Linked DNA regions of Kluyveromyces lactis. The protein of the gene in region 5 purifies or fractionates together with the protein of the main gene of each other region. This does not show direct contact. Links are inferred from orthologs where the notes say so. Each region holds a gene or a part of one and is shown on either strand. Other genes may lie near its edges.

Region 1 (3,707 bases), about 150 kb from region 5:
CTCAACAACACGATATAAAGTTAATCATTGACGAAATTTTAAAAGAGTGGAAAAGAATTCGGTCCGGACGTATCTCGGACGATGAGGTAAACAGAGCGAAAGCAAGATTAAAAGCCTCTCTACTTCTTTCTCTAGATGGATCGACTGCAATAGCTGAAGATATTGGAAGACAAGTAGTAACGACTGGTAAAAGGTTATCACCAGAGGAGGTTTTCGAACAAGTTAATAAAATCACAAAGCAGGACATTATAATGTGGGCAAATTATAGGCTGCTCAATAAACCTGTCTCTATGGTTGCTCTAGGTAATGTCAAAACGGTTCCATCTTTATCATACATTCAGACTAATATGAATAACTAAGTAACAAGTAAATATCATAAATCATAATTGCATCAAATATAGACAGGTACATTTATTCCACGTATTCTATATAATAAAGGGTCTAATTCCACTAGCTAGCACCAAAAACCAGCTTGACGCCAGTCTGTCAGTTATTTCAATTTATTCTTCTTTATTTTGTAGAGTTTCATTTAATTCTTCTTCCTTCCCGTTGGCATTATTGCTGAACACATCTGCTTCTTCTTCTTCCTCATCTTGGTCTATATCCTTGAATACGCTATCTCTTGGAATACGCTTCATGACTTCCGGTTTGTCAAACAAAGGACCAATCTTGCTTATCCATCTTTGTCTCTTATCCAACAAAGATTTTAGACTCGAGTTAGCGGCTTGTTGGTGAGCTGCCTGAATAGCTGCCTGAGATGTTGATCCGGTTGCTAATGAATCCGGCCCAGGTGTATATTGCCTCTTTTTCTTATTTTTCGGCGCACGAATACGTTTGATATATGCTTGGTCAACTTGCTTATCAAGATTGTCCAATATGGTACAGTACTCTTGCCATGCGAGCATCCTCTCCAATAACGGTAGAAGCATTGCCTTTCTTTTGGTATTCTTAGTAGTCACTTGACGTAGTGTACTCTGCAGCTCTCTTAGTTCAGCACTAATCTCATCATCTTCCCTTCCGGTCAACCAATCCGGGTCTTCACGTGTTTTTCCTTCTTCTCTCGGTAGATTCATATATATACCAACATACTTTAATTCCCTTTTCAAGCGTTCCTCAAAAGAAACATAATCAATATTGGAATTGTTTGCAATCGCTCCATGTTGTTTGAATATCCCGTATGACGAGGAGGATGATGGGGTAACATGTTCAAGCTCACTTACTGGTGTTGATACTGATGAATCGAGTGTGGGGTTTGTCGGTAATTCTTCCTTAGGAGCTATAATATCATCATCCTTCAGTATAGCACTCAAAAGCCTTGAGACTAGCGGGCCACAAGACACTTCTTCATTGTCAAGTACACCATCCGAAATGTCATTCCCTGATTTCTTAGGCAAGATACTAATAGGATCACTGATAGGTGGAGGAGTCAGATTCGCAATGTTTTGATTATTGTCTTCTTTCAACCACACGTCTGTGTATAGTGGTCCTAATTTAGGAATTGTGTATGGAGTCACTTCGGGGTCATAAGATTTCACAAACTGCAAATTTTGTGGCATGATGAATTTGTTTTGAAGGAATTTGATATCGTCATCATTGAATTCTCTGTAAAAGGCCTCGATGGATGAGAGAAAAGTATTAAACTGAATTTGGTTTGTGGGTTTAGGTTTCGAGAAATCCATATCAGGCAGCTCACCGGGTAGAAGTTCCTTTAAGTCATTTGTAGGATAGCTTACTACCCCGTATTTCTTTTTCAAATATTCCTCACCAGTAGCTTCAAGACCCTCCTCTTGAAACAAACCTAATCTCATTGCAGCAGCAGGTAACGTTTGAGATACTACAAATTCAGACTTGGGGTTTCTAATGTTAGGATCATTTTCCATTTTATCAATATCTAGCTTTGCTTTCTTTGATATGTGACCATCTGATGATAAAACTTCCGCTTCTTCAATAGTATCTTGTGGCCTTTTGTCTGTCTCCTCGTTCTCTTCTGTAATTGATCTTTTATCCGATACGACTTCGCTAGATTCATCAAGTTTTTTATTAATTGAATCATTTTCTGCGTTCTGGGCTGCAAGGTTTGTTGCAGCTTCTGCTTCCTCCTTCTCTTTTTGTTTCTCATCTTCGAGCCTTATTATATCTTCCCGCATTTCCTTGATTAGGTCTAAATTCTCTTGATCACTAGCTGCAATTTTCTCCAAACATTTTCCTAGATTTTCTAGTTGATCTTTAGTTGTTTGCAAAACCGGTTTCTCAGGAACCGACCTCACGTATTTACCGTTCAGTAAACCTATGTCATTCTCAAAAGTCAAGTCTAAAGACTTCAGCATCGAATTTAGAATATTCGACGGTTCATGTAGCCCAGCGTCATCTCTTTTCTGCTCTCTTATTCCTTTGCCTCTTCGCGTATTCCTTGACATAATATACCAGTGGTGTTTTACTGAGTGAAGATCTGGTTTAGCAATCTACTTGATTCCACCTTTGTCCACTGTTGACTATCGTTAAAAGATAGGCTGCTTTCCAGCTTTGGCAATATTAATGACTTTGTTCTGTTTGTTGCTTCGTTGTTTATCTTCCGTTACTTTGACAGATATTTTCATAGAAAATTTATTATCACGTGACCTCCGCCTTTTCTCTGCAAAAAATTTTCCAAGTTTACCAGAAATACCAATAATCCTCGATACAACACCAATCGGAACCAGAGAAAGCCAATTATATTCAAAGTGTTAAAAGGTCTGCGATAACGTAATCATCTTAGGCACTCAACAATGATTACTGGTGCTAGCGTGCAACGTACTGCATTCTTTTGTAGTAGACGTTTAAACTCCACCGTTACGAAAGAAGTTGCGACCATTTCCTCAACACTTTACAAGGATCCATCGAAATGGATCGGTTTGGATAGTAAAGATATCATAACGTTGCACAATGAAAGAAAGGCAAGACTAGGGCCCCTATATAAGCCTTGCGAAGAAGAGTTGAAAGCATTGTTACCCACTGCCGAAGCGTCTGGAATTCCAGCAAAACTTTTCAAAGAGTACTATCATAAGACACCTGAAGAAGTTGAGGCAGAAATGGGCATTGCAAGAGGTCTAGACGAGCATGTCAACTTGGATCAATATCAGTTTGATGATTTGCCATCACAATCACAAATTTTAGTTCATCAACATCGTGAACAACGTTTCTACAATCGTTTGGCAGCATTTGAACTTCCTTTACTTGCGCAGTATCGTCAAGAATATAAACGCCCTTCAACAAAGACTCATCCAGTAGCTTATCGTTATACAACATATCTTGGTGAAGAACATCCAAATTCTCGTAAGGTTGTCTTATCTGTGAAGACATCGGATCTCGGCTTGGAACAGAGGGAACTGCATAAGCTGCGTCTATTGGCAAAAACACGTTATGATTCTACTACAGATACTTTGAGAATGTCTTCTGATCGCTATGAAGAACCAGCTCAAAATGCAAAGTACTTAAACAGCATTCTTCTAGAATTACTCAAGGAGGCTAAAGATTTGAAAGACGACTTTGCTGATGTTCCTCTCGATAAAAGACATATCATCGCAAGACAATTGCGTAAGAAAAAGCGTGGGTACGAGTTCCCAGAAGAGTGGAAACGTCCACAAGATGCTCCAAGGAAAACAGTGGATCTTGTTGAGCTATTACACAAACAGCTTTGATCAACCTTTTAAAACACACAAAAACAACTG
Region 2 (2,624 bases), on a different chromosome or scaffold from region 5:
TAGATGTACTTTGAAATGGTGACTTAAACTTGTTCATGTGGAACCTGAAGTCTCTCTGAATCAATATAATCAATCAACCTCCATACCCATTGTTCTACTATCGAATACTTCTGCCACCAAAAGATACATACATCTTTGTTCGCTGGGCAGGTGGTTAATATCCGGAATAATAAAGGCAAAATTGGAGCCTTCATCAGTTTTAGAACCAGATTCACTAACAATAGCACAAAACACAGTTTTGTTATTGATTTAAGTGTCACTTTGTTAAAAAGGTACACCATGAATCATATACAAAATATTCGACAATAAGAAACTAGAACTATGGTATTTAATGTCTGTCGCGTCTGATGCGATAAATCACAAACAGGCACCGCTACTAGTTCCTACATTATCTCAATGTGATACGGTTTATTTAATGTTCTTTCATAATTTTTTTTTCTTTATTGTTACAGGCTATGGAAAATTACATACATTTCGTGAACGTGATATAATTAAGAAACTCATCGTCTAGAGGGGAAAGGAAGAACTAATCTTCTTTCCACCTCAGTCTCCTTGTCTATTTCCTCTTCACCGTCGAATCGTAGCTTACATGTCCCATCTCTTTTGCTTCCGCAAACAATAGCTGGATAGAAAGTCGTTGTTTCTGGATATCTTGCCAAAACTTTTGTATTCGCTGGATAATTCGGAGTCTGGGTTCTTTTCATAGTCACGGGCGGGATCAAGAGGATCTCTTTCGAGTTACATTTGAATATACCACCTGGTTTCCCAAATTCATCGGGTTCTGGATCTTTCACTTCAAACCGGAGTCCGTCCCCAGAAACTTTTGTGCATATGCACTGGATCCATTCGCCAGTCTTTTTAGATTTATATGCAACTTCGGAACCAACCTCAATTGGTTCACTTGGGTTGAATTGACTGGTCCAATGTGATCTACCAACAACACTCGATTCAGGGATATGCGTCGAACTGGATTCCTCCTTTAATATAGGTTCCTCTTCCACTGGATAATTATCTAATATGTATGAAATGTTCTCTACCAAATCTCTGCAGTAATTTCTCATCTTTTCATTTACAGACTGACGAGCCTCTAATTTCTCATGGATATCAGCCAATTGATTCAAATTCATATTCTGGAAATTCATATTCTTCGGATCTAAAGACTCAAACCCCGCAATATCTCCTATTTTATATAGATCTTGTAATTGAGTCACGGCAAGACCCCATCTATCTTCCGTTGCCATTTTCGCTAGAATCACTGATATATTTTGTTTTATTTTTTTTTTATCTATGGGCTGTCGGTTCTTAGTATTCCTATTTCAATTAGATAATATGGGCTTCACCAGCACGATAATTAATTTGGGAAACTTCTATAAATGGACGTCCTGTTTATTCAAACGTAAATCTGAAAGGTGAAGACTTCTTTTCGATGCAAGCAGTGTCGGTTTCTTGATGTTTTGTACTTAGAGAAATATGAGTTTTTCGTGCTGGAAGAGAACATCAAAACGTATATAGTGATGGTAGATCTTTAATTGGAACCTCAGTTTCGAATAACTTTGACGTGAATTAGACGTTTACTCCTTCTCAAGCATGAAAAATTCACTATGGTATCGAAAGAACTCTCAGCAATAGATGAAATTGGTAAAATGTATAAATCAATACTTTCAACTCTTAAACAGTCAGTTACACGAACCTTCGAAGGGCTATATCTTGTTGGATTTCGTTGTTACCCTACCTTACAATCCGCCATACTGTGGAAAATTTTTGTCACTAAAATCCTATCTTAAATACATTAAGTACAGATACACGCAGAAATACAGTTACTGTGACATTGCTTGATACTGTTCGGACCAGGCCTACGAAACAACGCATAATGTTCTCATCTTCGTGGCAACAAGTTCCCAAGTTTGTGGTGCAGCAGGTGCGTACTGCAACCAAGCGTGCAGCAGGTTCTCGTACCAGTATGAAGGACTCTGCTGGTCGTAGATTGGGTCCAAAAAAATACGAGGGTCAAGCCACTCAAGTTGGTGAGATCATCATGAGACAACGTGGTACCAAGTTTTATCCTGGTGAAAATGTAGGCATCGGTAAAGATCATACGCTTTTCGCTTTGGAGCCGGGTTATGTGAGATACTATTTGGATCCATTTCATCCAGGTAAGAAATTCATTGGTGTATCATTATACAAGGATGTAAAGCTTCCTTTGCCGCATTTCGAACCACGTTTGAGAAGATTCGGCAAGGCCATCATTGAGGATGAAGAGAAAGCCATTGCAGAAGAGAACGCTTTACCAAGAAAGATTTATTTGCTGAAGGATGAATTGATCAAGAAACAGCAAGAACGTGAGATTAAACGTGAAGAGTTGAAGGCAGAATACAGCAAGATAATTTCAGATCTGAAAGTTGAGCTGGATCAACAAGAACTTGCGTTTGCATTACCATATTTGCTCAGATGGAGAACTTGTTTGAAGAATGGGTTCAATGAATCCGATGCCCGATTTAATTCGTACTACTATTTGGAACAAGAACTTAAATTGAAGATGAGAAACCAAGAAAAATCTAAGTTGGACGACAAACTAACATTGTTGAAACAGGTCTCGACCAAATTGAATGAATCATTGTCATTTA
Region 3 (2,209 bases), about 510 kb from region 5:
ATTTGAGATCCACTCGTTCCCAGGAAACAACAAAGAATTCATATCGAATTCGAATAGGGAATGAAGCTGCTGCGCAGATGTATGATCATCATTAGCAGATGATGATTCCATATCTTCTGGAGTGCATAAATTTGTGCCCTCTTTCGAATCTGAATCAGCAGTTTTAACCTTATTTTTCTTATTAGCTAGTTTCTTCTGAGCTTTTTCGATGGCATTAATGAAAACTTGATTCTTCTTACGTTTCTTCCGTGGCACGTACCTTTTTTTGACCTTATCTGTGCCTTTGAACACACCAAATTTCTTTATAATCCAAGTCTTGTCTTCAGAGATGAGCTCTAAAGGAGGAGAGCTTAACGCTGATAATTCATCGTCCATATCCTCATAATACACATATTCCTCTTTGTACCGAACGAAATCAACGTTTCTTCTCTGATACTGAGGCTCATCTGGATCTTTGATTCCTGTAGGTGTTGCGGTCACATTACCCATAGTGTCAAACTGAATTGGCCGGGTCCACCGAAGTTTTACATCGTATCCTCCACATATTAACCCACCTTTCTCACATCGCTCACATCCGGGCCGCCGAAGATCACACTTTACTTTCCTTGATCTACATGTCCAGCATCCCGTGAACGTCTTCACTCTGGGCTTCGCAGGCTTCATTCCTGCTTGTATCCTCTTTGACTCACAGTCGCTGTGAAGGAAAAATAGCCTCCAATATTTACCAAACCTTCAATATCAACCACACGCAGATGAGCGTCTAAATGATGCCACTGTTGGAACAATAATATCTACTAAAACCTTATCTTGAGCGGTACTAATCGGTTTATTATCATTGCTCTGTTTATCTGATCCTCAGAAGATGCGATGTGGATCTGTCATGTCCTTTCCTCTGTTCGTCTTTTCTCAAAATTTTCACACAAGCGGAAGGGTTAGGCGATTTGTCAATTTCTTTCTCGCTAAAAAGCTCCCTATATAGCTTAACTGTTGGATGGACTGCGCATGATATTTGGGGACAAAAAAACGCAAGCGATTTTTTGCTGCGAAAAAAAAAAAAGCAAACTCGCACTATTCTTCGCTGTGTTTAAGTTGACAGTTTGACATAAAACTCAGAACCAGAATCAAAATCACGAAACAATGATCAAGCTATACAGTTTAGCTTATAGCGCATTCGTCCATTCCATGGAGTAGAGCTGACTAGTCGGTTGGAGTTCTAGATCAACACAGGAATGTCCAGAAGAATTCGTAAAACAAGTCTTTTCAGTAAAGATGTTGGCTCTTTGATGTATGCGTTTGGTGATGTCGCGCAACCTTTACCAGAGACCATTCAATGTGTAGACGAATTGGTGGTGTCTTATTTGAGCGATATATGTGCCAATGCGTACTACTCGGCTCAAACCGTGAAGAGGAATAAGATTAAAGTGGAAGATTTCAGATTTGTACTTCGAAAGGACGAGGTGAAATTAGGTAGAGCTGAAGAGTTGATTAAGATGAATAAAGTTATTACCGATGCCAGGAAACAATTTGATAATTCAGAGGGGAAATCTTTGAAACGAGTGAAAGATGACGGTGATGATGACCACATTTCGGCTGATGAAGATGAGGAGACGACAACGGTTCCTGAACCCGTTCCTACCTCACGTCCGGTAGGCAGACCAAGGAAAAAGGGAAATGAACCTCCTAAGAAGAAGAAACGGGAAACAAGCTGAGAGTTACATTCGCATTACCCCTAGCATATCTGTACTTGAAATCCTTCTCTTGCTGGGCAAAAGAAGTGAAAAAACAAAGCAATCCTCATATAAATTCTATCATTATAGTATTACGCCTTTCTGAACAAAATGCCATATTTATGCATACTTAGCGGCAACATATACGTTTATTTTTTCTATTAGCTATATATTAACCAAATGAATAGCTTATGAGAGGGTATTATTTGAACATAATCACCTTTATCTTCATAATTGGAATTTTCAGCTGGTTCTCCTGTAGTTCTTAATATCTATAAACAAATTGTCATATAAAATGACAATTTGAGAGGTTTTTAATCTATTCTTCGTAGTTGTAGGATGGATATTCAAGCTCCTCTCCTTCTTCGAGATAGTTTGGAACACCAATAAACTTGTTCCAGAGTTTATTGAGCTTTAGTACAGTGTACTTACTAACAGTGGAAGGTAGGTCCGTATAACTTGTTACGATAAACCGCAACGCT
Region 4 (3,055 bases), on a different chromosome or scaffold from region 5:
AATAGAGCAATAGAGAATTATCCAGATAACAACTGTCCGACTTTGATTGTTTATTACAAAGGTGATGTCGTAAAACATTTGGTTACACTACTCGAACTTGGTGGAAAAGATACTAAATTGGAAGATTTTGAAAGACTTATGGTTGATATTGGTGCAGTAGACGAGAAAGATGGTAGATTGCTAATGAACCACGAAGATGATTATACTAAACAAGAAAAGAAACAGAGATACGGTCATAACAGTATAAGATCAGGTATCAAAGGCAAATTTAATGTTGGTGTTGGTAGAAATGGCCGCAACGGTGCAGATGATGATGATGATGATGATTTCTTCGATTAGATAGAATACTATATATATATGGGTCTGTATATTGAAAAAAAAGATATAAAGGCAATAATAACACGTCGATTGGTGTGATGTTATTTGGGTTTCTTTTCTGACATATATATACGGAAGCCACCTAGTAAACCAATTTAGGAGTTTTTCTTCTTTTAACATATTCAACGAATAATGTAGAAAAGTAGATATGCTTGTTGTTCCAATACTTGCTCTTCCGTTACTGAAGTGACAACAGAATCATTGAATTTAAACCATTGTCCATCTTCAGTTTTACTCACCGTGGTATAATGACCTTGATCAACCGTCCCCTGATGGGAGACTACATTTAGTAGATCATATGCAATATTAGGAATATATTCATCTTCAATCTGGAATAAATGGGGTTTTAGATTTAAATGCAATGGAAACTGTACTCTATCATTTAATTTTGCGCTTTGACCGTTGAGTTGATGTTCGAATCTTTTCAACTGTATAACTAATACGTTAGGAGCCTTATGCAACGTTAACTGTTTCACCACACCCTGGTTCTGTTTACAGCTTTGGCATTCGTAGTGAAAATCGGTTAATGTTTCCTCTCTTTGGAAGTGATCTAAGCAATCTTCTAATTTAGGGTTATTTTTGATCTCTAAGGAAAGGTCCATGATTGGATCTATTGTGGTCTTTGAGAATCCACACTGAGAACACTGTAAAGTGTTTTTAAGATATCCTTGGAAGATTCGATGCGTGATACATTGACAATCAGGGGCCTTTGACGATCCGAATACTCGTGCATGATCCGTATGCAGTTGGTTCAATAAGAACTGCCAGTACTCATGTGCATCCTGTTGTGACGAGCCAACAAGATGATGATTGATATGCCATGATGCAGATAAAAGGTTTACAAAGCCTTTGCTAACGGAGGAAGACTTCCCTGTCCCAGGTCCATTCCCGTAAAAGTCACAAGCAATTTCATCCAATGCACAAGAGACGCACTTGGTTCCTGATTTAATGTCACAATTGTTGCAATGCTTATGAGATAACAGGTCCTCGACAAAGTATGGATTATGTATGATGGTTTGAATGATACTACTCATGAAACAGGTGGATCCCATGTTCACCAAACCTTGTAATCCATCTCTGTGTAAGCTAGCTGGTAGCTCGGTCTTTTCCATTACAGTATCCCATTGGCTAGCCGGAATTTCAGCGACCAGATCAGCCATGAAATCACCACATCTGAAACAGAACACTAGACCATTTGATGAATTAACCCCAAAGATGTGTCCCAATTTTTGAGAATGATCCAAGAAATGGTTGTTATTCCAGCACCCGCAAAATCCGCATTGCAAGCAAATGAAAGTCGATCCACAGCTAATTTCACCACAATCCATACATCTCATGGTTCTCATAGTTCTATTCTTGAAGTCTGCGTGGCGAAGCAGATATCGTACCGTTTCGCATTCTTTCAACACTGCGTCACCAAGCTTTTGGTTAGAAACCACTTGATTCATATGCGGACAAACCATAACTAATAAAAAAAATTTTGGCCAAGCACACGCACGAGCACTGAGAAATTTCAGAAAAATATCTAGCTGAAGTTCCCTGCTCGAGCTAGAGGATGACTAAGGCACAAAGACTTTGCTCCGTTTCCCCAAAAATTGTAACTGAATCTGATTACTAGATCATCATCTGTTAGAGTGCGAATTTCATATAATGAAAAGTTAAACAGAAAAAACTTGATCCAGAATCAAGCAAAAAAATGAAAAAGCGAAAAATAAAAGGAAGAAATGATACATAAGTAAACGGTAGATAGTATATACTTGTGGGAGCTCAGTGTGGTCATATACAGACTACTATCAGCCGGGGTGTTTGTAACCATACAGGCAAATGAGTGGAGGTGTCTACAGGATCTCTTATATATTATTAGTTTTATTTTTTATGAGTATCAAAATTAGCATGTATCCCGTAGTCATCCTTATGTAGTCATTTTGTACTCTTTCTCTCGAGAGGTACCTGGAAAAACCAGCTGCGTACGAAGATTTCTAGGAGATAATCCGATTCGCAGAGAAAGAGAGAGAGGGAGAGGGAGCTCATCGCAAGGAAAATTTAAAAAAAAAAAAAGTTCATCAACGTTTTCCAATTCTGTTCCAGTATTCTGAAGGGGAGTAGTATATGGGTAGGTATTTATGTCCGGTTTCTATTATTAGTGGATTTGGATTTAACACCGCTTCAGGCTGTGAGGTAGATAAACAGTTCTAGGGTTTTTAAAAAATGTCTAAGAAAGTATTGATGTTGCATGGGCTTGCCCAGTCTGGTCCTTATTTTGAATCGAAAACGAAAGGTTTTCGTCGGGTCTTAGAACCACTTGGATATGAGTTCTTCTACCCTACAGCACCAATTAATTTATCACCAGCAGATCTTCCTAGCGATGTTGCAGATATCGGCGCTGCTTCTGGGGATGACTATCACGCGTGGCTTCAACCGGATCCGTTGCATGGGGAGTACAGATTGCCCGACGTGACTTTGAAATTCTTGAAAGAGTACGTTGTCGAAAATGGACCATTTGATGGTATCTGTGGGTTTAGTCAAGGTGCAGGTGTCACTGGATATTTGATGACGGATTTCAATAACCTTTTAGGCCTCACGGAGGAACAACAGCCTGCTATTAAATTTTTCATTGCATTCTCCGGATTTAGGTTCAGACCTGAGATTTATCAAGAGCAGTACATCCAACATCCTA
Region 5 (3,497 bases):
TGGAAGATAGATCGACTGATTTGAAGTAGAAATTAACCCAAAAAGACCACTTTGTTCAAAACGTTGATACGATTTAACCATTGTGTATCAATTTAAACTCCACACTGCGGATAATAGTAGCAATAACTGATATCTTACACAGGGTTATAGTATATAAGTTTTGTTATACTTGTTCTTGAACAGCATTATGCGATGAGATGAGATGACCTTCCATAGTTTTTAACGTTTTGGAAAATTTTGAAAAATACAACTTGAAGCCATGAAAAAGAAAAGGGTGGTTTATACATATATGAGACAGGCAGAATAGGACAAAGAGTATTAAGAATCAGTTTCCCTGGACTTGATTATGCATTGTTGTAGGTACTCATCCACTTCTCCATTTTCAATATTTTGAGGAATTGTTACATTAATAGATATATGATATATGATGTATAATATATGCATCAAATTAAGTCTGTTTGAATGAATGAACTTGTTTAAACAGTGGTAATTTATCCATTTCACTTCTTTTCGGGATGTGTACGTGCAGTTTTATTGTTATTGATTGCATTTACCATTTGATTGTACGAAGGGGTTGGATTCCATTTCTTGGTGCTACGGATTTCATCGTTGGCAAACCCTGGGATTCTGATATTCCAATTACGTTCCAGATGCATTTGGATGTCTCTTACGTCGAGTGAATCGGATTTTCTATGTTTTGCCAATTTACAGGCGAAATTCGTAACATTAGTAATGAAATCGTCTGCTAGATCGAGTAATAGCTCTTCCACATCACCATCAATGGTGGTTTCACCATCACCTTCGTCTATACCCACCGTTTTGACGAGTTCACGGAGCTTTCTTTTAGACATCACACGCTCAGTATCGACCTCATATGGCGGTAGTTTGGTCATAACAGGTGTAGTTAGCGCTGGCGCGTTCATACCACTACCGCCTGTTATCGTAGGTCTGTTGCTTCTGTATGACACTGAAACTGTTGGGGATGCGGTGACATTTTCACTTATTGGTATCGATGGGTTTGGTTGCTTGAAGATTGGTGGTCTTGTATTGCTTTGTGCTGTTTGATTTGCAGCTGCATTCACCGTTGTCACCTGCATTGGGGACGATTTGTCAGAAGCTGTGTTATTTGGTGCGGCAGCTGCTGAGCTCGGGTTTGCGTTTGTTGCAGTTGCAGTAGTTGCAGCGGTCTTTTGAATTGGTATATTTTGTCTTTGCGCCATAGCATTTGGAGGACTACCACTCGAAGCTTTATTCAAACTTGTTGGAATTGGTGTACCGGTGTTGGTTCCTGGAGTAGAAACACCAGCCTGAGGTCCCGGTGTACCTGCATTTGCAGCTACTGTACCCTGTGACTTAGCAGCATTAGCTTTTTGTTGCTGTGCTTGTAGATATCTTCTTAAGTCAGCATTAGTTTGAGAACACTCAATGTAAAACTTTCTTCTGTCCTCTTGATATTTCTGTTGTAATGTCGAATACTGGGCACTCAATGCCCTGATTTTCATTAATAATTCATTCCTGTTAACCTCTAATTGCTGCACCGATAGACTGTTACCTCGTCTATTCCTGATCTCTTGGTCCAAAACACTAATATTTCTCTTCAAAAAGTTGAATTCTCCCTTGATATTCTGACCGTCATCCTCATACTTTTGAACCAATCTATTGTAAGCTTCACGCTGTTGAGGAGTTAATAAGACCTTTATGTTATTCGTCACATTATTGGAACTGGCGGTAGCTTGTTGTTGCTGCTGCTGTTGCTGCTGCTGTTGCTGCTGATCCATGGATTTAACATTCGTGGCATTATTATTTACAGCTCCCTGTGCTCCAGCCTGCGCTTGGGCCTGCTGCTGCCTCTGTTTACTGTAAGCCTCGTACAAAGCCTTAATACGGGCCGCTTGTCTCAATAGCTCTTTCCCTTCCTTGGTATCTACACCAATTCGCTTAGCTTCGTTAACTAACGATTTTAGTCTATCCGCCAATTGCTGCATAGAAGCTGGCGTGAGGTTCTGCAGCTGTACATTACCTGCTTGGCCTGACATTGTCCGTATCTTGGTTCGTAATCCGAAATGCACACCGCAAGCCCACTTTAAGTGTCGAAATACCCTCGTGCTGGCCTTCTTTGCCCCCGTTTTGCCCTTGCTTTAACCTCGCGGCAACTACTTTCGATTGTTATTCACTTGTTGATCTTTGAAATATTTTTGAATTTTGATGCTGAAAGGAATAGGAAGACAAGTGTTACCCTGACAACATACACAATGCGTATATATGAATATATGTATCTATGAATATGTTCATAAGCGATATAGGTGTTTGCGCTGCATCACAGCTTGTCATTTTCTTCCAAGAATTCGTAATATTCGTCTATAAGTAGCGGCCAAGCAGCCATTTCATCATAGTTTTGTTTTAAACTTTCGTCATTGGGGTATTGTTCAATGAACTTATAGAACATCAACCATATATCGTTTGAGATGTTCTGTTTCCTTGGATCCGAGTCGTCAGAATTGATGAATTCAAGCCATGAATTAAGTCTCTCCTTGGAGATTTTCAACGCATATTTATTGTCTTTAAAGAAAATATTCCAGTATTCTATTGCGACATCTTTAGGTAAATGACGAGATCCCTCGTCTGTATTCAATGGGAAAGTGTAGGAATAGATTGATTTGAAATAATCTTTGTCCGTCTCCAGTCTCTCTTCTAGCGTATGTAAATAGGCTTTCATCTTTCTTAAAGTGTCGCAACATAAATCTGACCAGGCATTTAGGAATTGTTCTCGAGATACTGGTTTTGTTAAATCGTCGATGCATAGCATTTGAGAAAGACATAGCGTGATTGGGTCCTCTATCGATATACCGAGGTCTTCAATAAACCGTATTAGCCCAGAAGAGTCCCATTCTGTTGCCGAAACGCCATTCGAGTACTTCTCAAAGATAGCCACTAAACTGGGATTGTAAGATTGACGCATACCTCCAATGGTATCCACATTATCATAATAATCGTTCAAAGCGTACTCGACACGCCCTCCATTCTTTCGAAGGTATTCCTGTGCAACAGAGTACGTGCATCCTGTGAGGTTCATGAACTCTTTCTCCTATTTTTCCAAATGATTATTTGATTAGCATTTGTTAGTAAAGGTGTCATTCACCTGACCAGAGGGTAGAGGCATAGTAAAAAACATACCATTATAAAAACACAATACGATGAAATTTCTGAAGGGTTGTTATCCACGAGTAAATGATCGCTTGCTCTGGCGTTTTGTCGCGAGTAGATTGCTTTCTTCTTTACCCTAAAACTCGAAACGAATATGAAGTAAAACATGTAATTTCACTTAAAATGAACTTGTCTGTATATTTAAAATATGTCAACAAACGTAATGGTCATAGTGAAAAGTGATGAGAAGCAGGACTAAAGGGACCCAGCACCGTTGACCGAATGACTAAGACTGATGACGAACTTAAATTACTTCATGAGAAAATTCTACTTAACCTAGCTTCGAATTTAGA
Region 6 (3,102 bases), on a different chromosome or scaffold from region 5:
GCAACTGGTTGGTTACGACCATCCGATGCTGATGAATGGTCAAAAGTGTTGGATCAATCCGTAGACATATTTGAAAAGAATCACTCCTTATTCGAAGTTAACGGTCCTAAACGTATTAAGTACTATTTCTCCAGAGAAGCGATGTCCAAAAACTTTGATAATACCATCGACCATATTATTTGGAAGTCAAGAGGAACGCGTTTATGGAGCACATTAGCTCCAGGGCTACTGATGTTCACTGTCCAATATGCTACACTGTTGATAACAGGCGATGCTTCTTGGCCATATTTATTGCTAGCTGCGATTTCTTATTTTGTATTAAGAAGTGTAAAGGCCACTGTGTACTGGATCATCGTTTTCTGTTACCTAAACTATTCAACTTAAAAGCGAAGCCAATCTTAATTTATTATAACGACTTGTGCAAAATATATACACATACCCCTCAAAGTTAAGAGATGAAAAACAGACGTTAACAAGCTATTAAGTTTCTAAATATTACACTAATTAACTCTTCCTCCATATCCATTTACACCAAATTGAACACCAGGTTGATTTGAATTGCTTCGACTTTGAGTATTAACCGGTGAGCCTATTGTTTGCTGCATCAACTTAGAAGCCGTATCTAGTTGAGCACTGGCGTCTTCCATTCTTTTCTTCTGCAGGAGTTTCTGTTGCTGTTGTTGCATTATTAGCTGTTGAGTTTGAATATCCCGAGGGGTGATGCCCTGGGTCATCATGGGTTGTTGCCCTGCAGGTTTTCCAGCCTGAACTGACTGTGGAATTTGCATTTGCATTTGAGATAACGATCCGGTAGCACTAGATTGTCGTTGCCGCTGTTGTTGTTGCTGTTGTTGCTGCTGCTGCTGCTGTTGTTGTTTCAAACGTTGGGCCTGTAATATTTGAAGCTGTTCTGGTGTCAAGTTTTGAGGTGATGCGTTAATAGGTTGAGGCGTACGTATACGGAACGTATAATCAGTCGTTCTATCAATGTCAATAAGACCGACCCTTGAGCGGAACGCACCAACTCCAGGGCTCTTAAAGCCTGGTTTTATACTGAAAGCAGACCCAAACATTTCTCTCATTCTGACGTACTTGGTTCTTGATCGTGTAGAAGTCAATACCGTAGTTTCTAACGGTAGTGGGTATGAACGTGAAACACCGTTCAAAACCAGAGTAGTCTCTTCTTCAGGGGACAATTTGGGTAATGACTCATTGACCACTTCATTGCTGCTGGTTTTCCCAGTGTTTTTATCTTTCCCCTTTTGTTTAACTTGTGGATCCTGCTGATTTTGCTGTGCCTTTTGGATTCTAGTCTTGGACGCCGAAGATTTCAACTGGTTGCGTTTCTGATAATCAGCTAATAATATGTCAAATGGCTGTGACCGTCCCTCCACTGCACGTTTCGCTCCCATTGAGTGCGATTTACATGTTAATGATCTACCGCAAACACCACCTTCAGGTAATGGTACACCACACTGTTTATCGAAGTTAACCAGATGTGGCTCTGTCGGGTTTCGCTGTTTTATCTTCCTTTGTTTTCTAGTCGATCCAGAAGGAGTGGATGATTTCTGTTTCTTTGAAGGTGAATCGAAATTCTCAGGATCTATCGACGAGGATCTCTTATTACTCCCCTTACTTTTAGCAGGAGAAGACATGATATCCTGCGTCTCATTCTTTTTCACAGGCATTTTATCAATACAGTGATTCTCTAAATGATCTATAATAGCTGACACCAATACCGGCTGGTGGCAAGCTGTACAATTCCTATAACGGATATCCTCTTTAGAAACGCCAGATAAAACTTCTGACGGCCTGCTCAAGTATTTTGAACGAATATCCGTGGATGATAAATCCGAACTATTCCCGTTATTCTTAACAATAGACAGTAACTCCTTCCAACCGTTCTTGCTACTTCCTAAATCTTCTAATTGAATGTCTGATCTGATTCCTTTAATCTCTATATTGACACTTGACATGCTCTTGTACCAAAATCAGCCAGGTAAAAAAAAAATGATAGGGAGAATTACGATGGAAATGATGAATGAATTGAGACAAGCTAACAATGATCAAACTGTCCTTACCTAGCTTTCAAAAATAAACCAGAGTCTATCGGTGGTAATGCAAATTGGTGCCTAACTATGGTAAAAATAGCACGTTAAAAAAAAAGAATCTGGTATGAAGTGAGCCCTCAATATTGATTGTACAAAAGTAACTTTTGTGGCAGGTAAATAACACGTTAGAACTATCTCAAAAGCCTTTTAAAATCTTTGGATCACCCGCTCTAAATACTTTCAAGCATCTGAATTCATGTATTATCTTATGAAATGTTTCTGTCCATCGGTATGTTATTCCTGTCGAAATCGTCGACTTTCAGAAAGGGAAACTTGAAAGTTCTTACAATCACGTGATATGACTTAATGGAATGTGTCAATCCCCCACACACCAATTGGTCCGTCGATAATCGAATTGCAAGCTAAATATAACATATTTCAGGATATTAACTTCCTATGGTATGTGTGTTATATAGATTGTCTACGAAATGAAATGACATTTAAATGAAGTGGATTCTTCTTAACAATAAAACGGTTACTTTCAACAAGGTGATATCATGGAATACTGGGACAGTGGCCCATCTTGAGCTAAGGATCCTTTCAGCCACTTCGAATACCCGAAGTCTAAGGTATAGTCTAAAACCTTCAGAGCTATTGAAAATTGGCGGTACAAACGGCACTGCTTTCCGAATGTACTCATCTCGAATTGACACTGAAGCTACCGGATCATCAACGATAATCCCGGTAATGGTCATACTACTGATATATTTGATGTCAATTTCGGAATTGACGGTCCAAAGGTATACGGCAAGGTTGTTTTCTTGCAAGTATGGTAATACAGTTTTCTTGAAATCGGGTTTCCAAGAGTTAATGAAATGAAGACTGACACCATGCAACTTGTAGTTGTCATCGCTCAAGGATTTAGAGTATTCGACAAATTTAGTAGCCATCGCTGTGAAGGGTAAGATGGCCACGATCTTGAAACCCTTCAGTGTGGCCGTGGTGACCCCGTATTTGTACCAATCAAGTTGCCACAATCCGAACATCAAAC
Region 7 (4,237 bases), on a different chromosome or scaffold from region 5:
GTTCTTCCAATAGTTTCTTTTGCTTCAATTGCCTTTCCTCTTCGTTCTCACCGCCAACAATGGTTATGTTATCGTTGATCAATTCATCAAGACCCAAATTACGCTCCGCCTCTTCACGCCTCTTTTCATACGCACGTAAGTAACCTTGAATGACCCTAGGGTCTCTGACTATAACAGTTTGTCGTTGAATGATACCGTTGGAATCTCTCTTCTTTCTAGTAATCCGTAACACTTTCTCGTCAGGTCTTGTCGAGGGAACATGCTTATTACTTTCATTAACGATATCTGGATCATCCATTTCTTCAAAGGGATTTTGAATGCTTAAAGACTTGGCTTGGTTATACCACGTCCTACTTATTTCTTCTTCATATGCTTTCTGTTGTTGCGCGACATTGTAACTATGACCACCAGCAATTTGCGGTTGATCCTTTGAACCGGATTTTACAAACCCACCCTTCATAGAGGTTTTCAAAAACGAAAAACCTTCACCACAACCAGTAGGATCACCAGGTCCATGTATTTGAATCATTGCTCTCATCTGTGTAGCATTCAAGAAATTCTTGGTAGCATTCCAAAATATTAAGTTCTCCTCCAACTCCTTAGCTCTTTCATCGAAGTTGTAGAAATCAATATCTTCCTGGAACTGTTGACCATAATACATGGATTCAACGAGTGAAACATCTTCAGGAGTAACCATTTTCTTCACGTTTTCGTTATCCAGTAAAACTTCTCCCTCCTTTAGTTTCCAGAAACCTTGATCATCACCTTCACGTTGATACTTCATGAATTCCTTTAATCTTTGTCTGTTTTGCATATCATTTTGTTCTGGGAAATGACGAGCCACCTGTTTCACTAACAGTCTGTTTTCCGGAGATTTGTTCAAAATACGATACACAACCATCCTCAAACGGTTCTTACCCATAGCAGTAACCTTTCTAGAATTCGGACCAGGAACTTCGACCACTGGGAACGTTTGACCGACAGCAAAGAGATGATTAATTTGACGCAAATAGAATCTGTTACCGGACCCATTACCAAGACTTTTCACCAGAAGGAAATCGGTCTTAGAGACCTCATGTTTGAAAACGGGGGCTCTGACCATATTGTTATATAAAGTGGGAACAATGTTTCCTGGACTGACGAAACCAAAATTCCAAAATGGTGATTTATCCTGCACACCTAATACATGAGTCTCACCAACGGGTAATTTTGGTCTGGAGCTGTCTGTTTCTCCCGTCTTTCTATAATAATTGATAAGCTTGTTAGCCATACCAAATTTAGATAACGCAACAGGTTGCTGTTCACTGTATTCCATCAGGAACACTTGAGCACTGTCACCAACAGTCAAGTCCGCAGAATGTTGGAAAATTTCGTGCACATCCTTACCTTTATCCTTCTTTCTCTTACGGGTCTTTATCTTACTGAACACTATGTTGGTACCAGGACGAATCCGTTTCCCGAAATGATTTCTATGAAAGTGTCTCAACTGATCTTTTGGTAACACAACTTTGTAGAATGGAGATTGTAGGCGCGTCGCCGGTTGAGAATGTTCTATATTCAAATTCGAAATTGTAGATCTGATCTTTTTTTGATAGTTCTTTTTCAAAATCTTGTAAGTGTCATCGTTAGAGATGTTGAACTTTGCTAGTAGAGATTTCTCATTATATGGTATTAGAGGTTTAACGACCTTTTGTGCCGATTCGATTTTATTCTCATTAGGCAAAATAAGTAATCGCTCATCATTCATATCAATTGGCGGTTCTTTAGCACTCACCTTACCATTTATGATATCATCTTCGTTCCATTCCCAGTCTTTCCCATCTTCTTCTAAAGTGTTCTCAACTGCTGGCGGATTCCTCTTGTTACTCGTCATTGGCTCCTCATTTTCTCTATCGTCAACAATTTTCTCATAATCCCATTCATCAGCTACAATGAGAAGATCTTCCGGTATCACTTCATCGTGCTCATCTTTCTTGTCATCTACAGTATCTTCTTTATATATCTCATCGTATGCTACTTTGATAACATTTCTTCGTTGAACTTCAGAGAACTCGCTTATAGCACTTTGCCAAGGCTTTACGCTTTTACTCCTCATCTTGAACAATTTTTTTGTATCCTTTTGAACTTGAAACTTCACTTTAATGGGTATGAGAGGTTTTAAAATTCTGTTTCGAAGGTATAACTCCCTTTGCCATTGATACTTCGCCAACGGTTTTGGAGCTATCTTGGTCATTCTTAGGACTCTACCCGGCTTTAGCTCAGGGAAATAAGACTGAAATAATAACTGTTCTTCCTTCGCATTTTGTTCCTCTTGTTTCCTTCGCTGTTCCTCCATTAACCTCCTGTGTTGCTCATCATATTCGTTAAATTGGTGTTGTTCTGGACCAAATGACTGATATGTGCTCTCCATGAACAATGCATTATTACCTTGTACTTCAAATCCAGCAGCGTCAACTTCATGCATCACATCACCATGGTCCATCAGAGTCATATATTCGTCGTCTTCAGTCAGACTCCGCTGAAACGACCCTTCATTATGCCTGTTCGGAGAATGGGATGGCTCTTCTTCCTCCGGTAATTCTTCATCTGCCAATTCATCTTCATCTTCAAAATCAATAGCATTCGGCAGATGCTCTGTTTCATCTTGCTTACCATTGCCGCCACCACTAGTATAATTACTAATATCTAATGCCCCAAACTCACCACCAAATAGAGCGTTATACGCATCATCTTCATTGCTGAAATCCTTCTTTGCCTTGCCTTGTTTCTTGCTTCCTGAGCTTCCAGCAACCCTAGGCATTTCGCAAAAATGGGTGTATTATGACTGGAATCAGATTAGAATTCTGTTATTGACAGAAATATTGGCTCACAGAGTTGAATGAACCTATTTAACCACCCTTTTTATGACTTCGAGCACTCTTTACTGAAATGTACATATCAGCTCTTCAACTTTGTTTAGATTTTGATATTGAGGGATCAATCCAGAGACCGGGTAACGTAATTTCAGTGCAATCCATGTAACATAAACCACTATCATGGCCCAGATTGGCCACTTCACTCGAATTAACAAGGTTATATGCAATGTGTAGCATGCACTCATCTCATTTACTGGCTTTTCGTTTCAATAAGTGGTTCGCTGACCTATTAATCGACCATTTTATCCCATTTAAGGTCAATTTTTGTTGATAATTCTGCCAACATGAAATTAAAGCCAAACATCAAGAGCTTAAAGCTTAACAGTGCGAGCAGAGATCTAAAGGTACAATGCGACAATCTTTTAGGTGTTAGATCGACTAACTCGGCCAATTATTTCAGCAAATTTACACACTGAGCCATATACTTAACAGAAAGTGAGAATGTCTTTGATAAGTAGGGCAAATCGTCTTGGAGGTTTCACGACCGATGCAAAGCATTGGGAATACGAATGGTCCACTACTGCTAAACAAAATGAAAATGGTACTGATGAGAAGGTAAAATATAAGTTCAAGCAATGGGTAAAAAAAGATCATCCTTTGAGAGATGTAGTTGAGGATGATACAGATGTTCTTAACTTAGATGAATTTGATAGGACGAAGATAGCTAAGAAAAATGCTCGTGTCCAGGAGAAAAGTGGCCCAGATTCACTCTCAATTAACGATATAAGAGGAGCTGTTGGTGGTTCTGACATTCCTGGGTTCTCAGGATCGGATGCTAAGAAAGAAGCCGAGAGTGAAGCTGCTGTTGAAACTCCTGTGGTTGAAACTCCAGCGGAAGAAACTCCGGCTGAAGATACACCGGCAGAGGTAAAAGACCAAGAAGGCGACGTAAAGATGGAATGATTCATTATATAACGATTACACCTATATACTGTAATTTTACTACGATTCATGGAATCCAGAATGTGGCCTGGACGCCCACTCTCGAATAAGATAAAGACAGTCCTTCATCCAAAGGAGGGCAAGCAGGAAAAACCATCACCGCTTTTGTTCTCCACATAGGACGTATGTGTGCGTTTGAGACATTACTATATAAAACTATTGGCTTTCATTATTCACGTTGTTGGTTTTGATAGTCATAAATGAGATGGCATCGCGAGCGGTTTTAATCGAAGCCTGTATTTCTGCTTCACGTTTGGATTTTTCCACTGCACGGTCTTCCTTATCAAGTTTGTTCAACTCACTCATTATTTTGATCCATTCTCTTGTATCACCAGTACCTGAACAGATTAGTAGCATAGCTGATGAAGGTAGATTTTCAT

The links.
Region 1: the proteins of TAF12 (region 5) and NGG1 purify together in Saccharomyces cerevisiae (affinity purification with mass spectrometry; 7 studies listed by BioGRID, with this or other methods). This does not show direct contact. The link is inferred for Kluyveromyces lactis from reciprocal best matches to the Saccharomyces cerevisiae genes TAF12 and NGG1.
Region 2: the proteins of TAF12 (region 5) and SGF29 purify together in Saccharomyces cerevisiae (affinity purification with mass spectrometry; 5 studies listed by BioGRID). This does not show direct contact. The link is inferred for Kluyveromyces lactis from reciprocal best matches to the Saccharomyces cerevisiae genes TAF12 and SGF29.
Region 3: the proteins of TAF12 (region 5) and TAF13 purify together in Saccharomyces cerevisiae (affinity purification with mass spectrometry; 6 studies listed by BioGRID). This does not show direct contact. The link is inferred for Kluyveromyces lactis from reciprocal best matches to the Saccharomyces cerevisiae genes TAF12 and TAF13.
Region 4: the proteins of TAF12 (region 5) and UBP8 purify together in Saccharomyces cerevisiae (affinity purification with mass spectrometry; 10 studies listed by BioGRID, with this or other methods). This does not show direct contact. The link is inferred for Kluyveromyces lactis from reciprocal best matches to the Saccharomyces cerevisiae genes TAF12 and UBP8.
Region 6: the proteins of TAF12 (region 5) and SGF73 purify together in Saccharomyces cerevisiae (affinity purification with mass spectrometry; 8 studies listed by BioGRID, with this or other methods). This does not show direct contact. The link is inferred for Kluyveromyces lactis from reciprocal best matches to the Saccharomyces cerevisiae genes TAF12 and SGF73.
Region 7: the proteins of TAF12 (region 5) and TAF1 purify together in Saccharomyces cerevisiae (affinity purification with mass spectrometry; 16 studies listed by BioGRID, with this or other methods). This does not show direct contact. The link is inferred for Kluyveromyces lactis from reciprocal best matches to the Saccharomyces cerevisiae genes TAF12 and TAF1.

What each region holds. Positions count from the first base shown.
Region 1 is NC_006040.1:1,523,460-1,527,166, reverse strand, and holds NGG1 (histone acetyltransferase NGG1), read right to left. Parts: upstream 2,418-3,707; coding exon 501-2,417; downstream 1-500. Other genes in the region: MAS1 (mitochondrial processing peptidase), read left to right, coding at 1-359; RSM24 (mitochondrial 37S ribosomal protein mS35), read left to right, coding at 2,766-3,677. UniProt on the Saccharomyces cerevisiae protein: Component of the transcription coactivator SAGA complex. SAGA acts as a general cofactor required for essentially all RNA polymerase II transcription. At the promoters, SAGA is required for transcription pre-initiation complex (PIC) recruitment.
Region 2 is NC_006042.1:1,140,852-1,143,475, reverse strand, and holds SGF29 (Sgf29p), read right to left. Parts: upstream 1,242-2,624; coding exon 501-1,241; downstream 1-500. Other genes in the region: MRP7 (mitochondrial 54S ribosomal protein bL27m), read left to right, coding at 1,871-2,624. UniProt on the Saccharomyces cerevisiae protein: Chromatin reader component of the transcription coactivator SAGA complex. SAGA acts as a general cofactor required for essentially all RNA polymerase II transcription.
Region 3 is NC_006040.1:863,634-865,842, forward strand, and holds TAF13 (Taf13p), read left to right. Parts: upstream 1-1,229; coding exon 1,230-1,709; downstream 1,710-2,209. Other genes in the region: ARG81 (Arg81p), read right to left, coding at 1-663; ERO1 (ER oxidoreductin), read right to left, coding at 2,047-2,209. UniProt on the Saccharomyces cerevisiae protein: Functions as a component of the DNA-binding general transcription factor complex TFIID. Binding of TFIID to a promoter (with or without TATA element) is the initial step in pre-initiation complex (PIC) formation.
Region 4 is NC_006039.1:603,844-606,898, forward strand, and holds UBP8 (ubiquitin-specific protease UBP8), read right to left. Parts: upstream 1,842-3,055; coding exon 501-1,841; downstream 1-500. Other genes in the region: PLP2 (Plp2p), read left to right, coding at 1-339; KLLA0_C06996g (alpha/beta hydrolase), read left to right, coding at 2,587-3,055. UniProt on the Saccharomyces cerevisiae protein: Histone deubiquitinating enzyme component of the transcription coactivator SAGA complex. SAGA acts as a general cofactor required for essentially all RNA polymerase II transcription.
Region 5 is NC_006040.1:1,375,468-1,378,964, reverse strand, and holds TAF12 (Taf12p), read right to left. Parts: upstream 2,037-3,497; coding exon 501-2,036; downstream 1-500. Other genes in the region: snoRNA-binding rRNA-processing protein DIP2, read right to left, coding at 1-81; NEDD8 ligase DCN1, read right to left, coding at 2,318-3,085, 3,175-3,312; APC2 (anaphase promoting complex subunit 2), read left to right, coding at 3,427-3,497. UniProt on the Saccharomyces cerevisiae protein: Functions as a component of both the DNA-binding general transcription initiation factor complex TFIID and the transcription coactivator SAGA complex.
Region 6 is NC_006038.1:214,243-217,344, forward strand, and holds SGF73 (deubiquitination module subunit SGF73), read right to left. Parts: upstream 1,977-3,102; coding exon 501-1,976; downstream 1-500. Other genes in the region: ALG2 (GDP-Man:Man(1)GlcNAc(2)-PP-dolichol alpha-1,3-mannosyltransferase), read left to right, coding at 1-384; PGC1 (phosphatidylglycerol phospholipase), read right to left, coding at 2,552-3,102. UniProt on the Saccharomyces cerevisiae protein: Component of the transcription coactivator SAGA complex. SAGA acts as a general cofactor required for essentially all RNA polymerase II transcription. At the promoters, SAGA is required for transcription pre-initiation complex (PIC) recruitment.
Region 7 is NC_006037.1:879,454-883,690, forward strand, and holds the start of TAF1 (histone acetyltransferase), read right to left. Parts: upstream 2,801-4,237; coding exon 1-2,800. Other genes in the region: RTT102 (Rtt102p), read left to right, coding at 3,357-3,818; RNH70 (Rnh70p), read right to left, coding at 4,014-4,237. UniProt on the Saccharomyces cerevisiae protein: Functions as a component of the DNA-binding general transcription factor complex TFIID. Binding of TFIID to a promoter (with or without TATA element) is the initial step in pre-initiation complex (PIC) formation.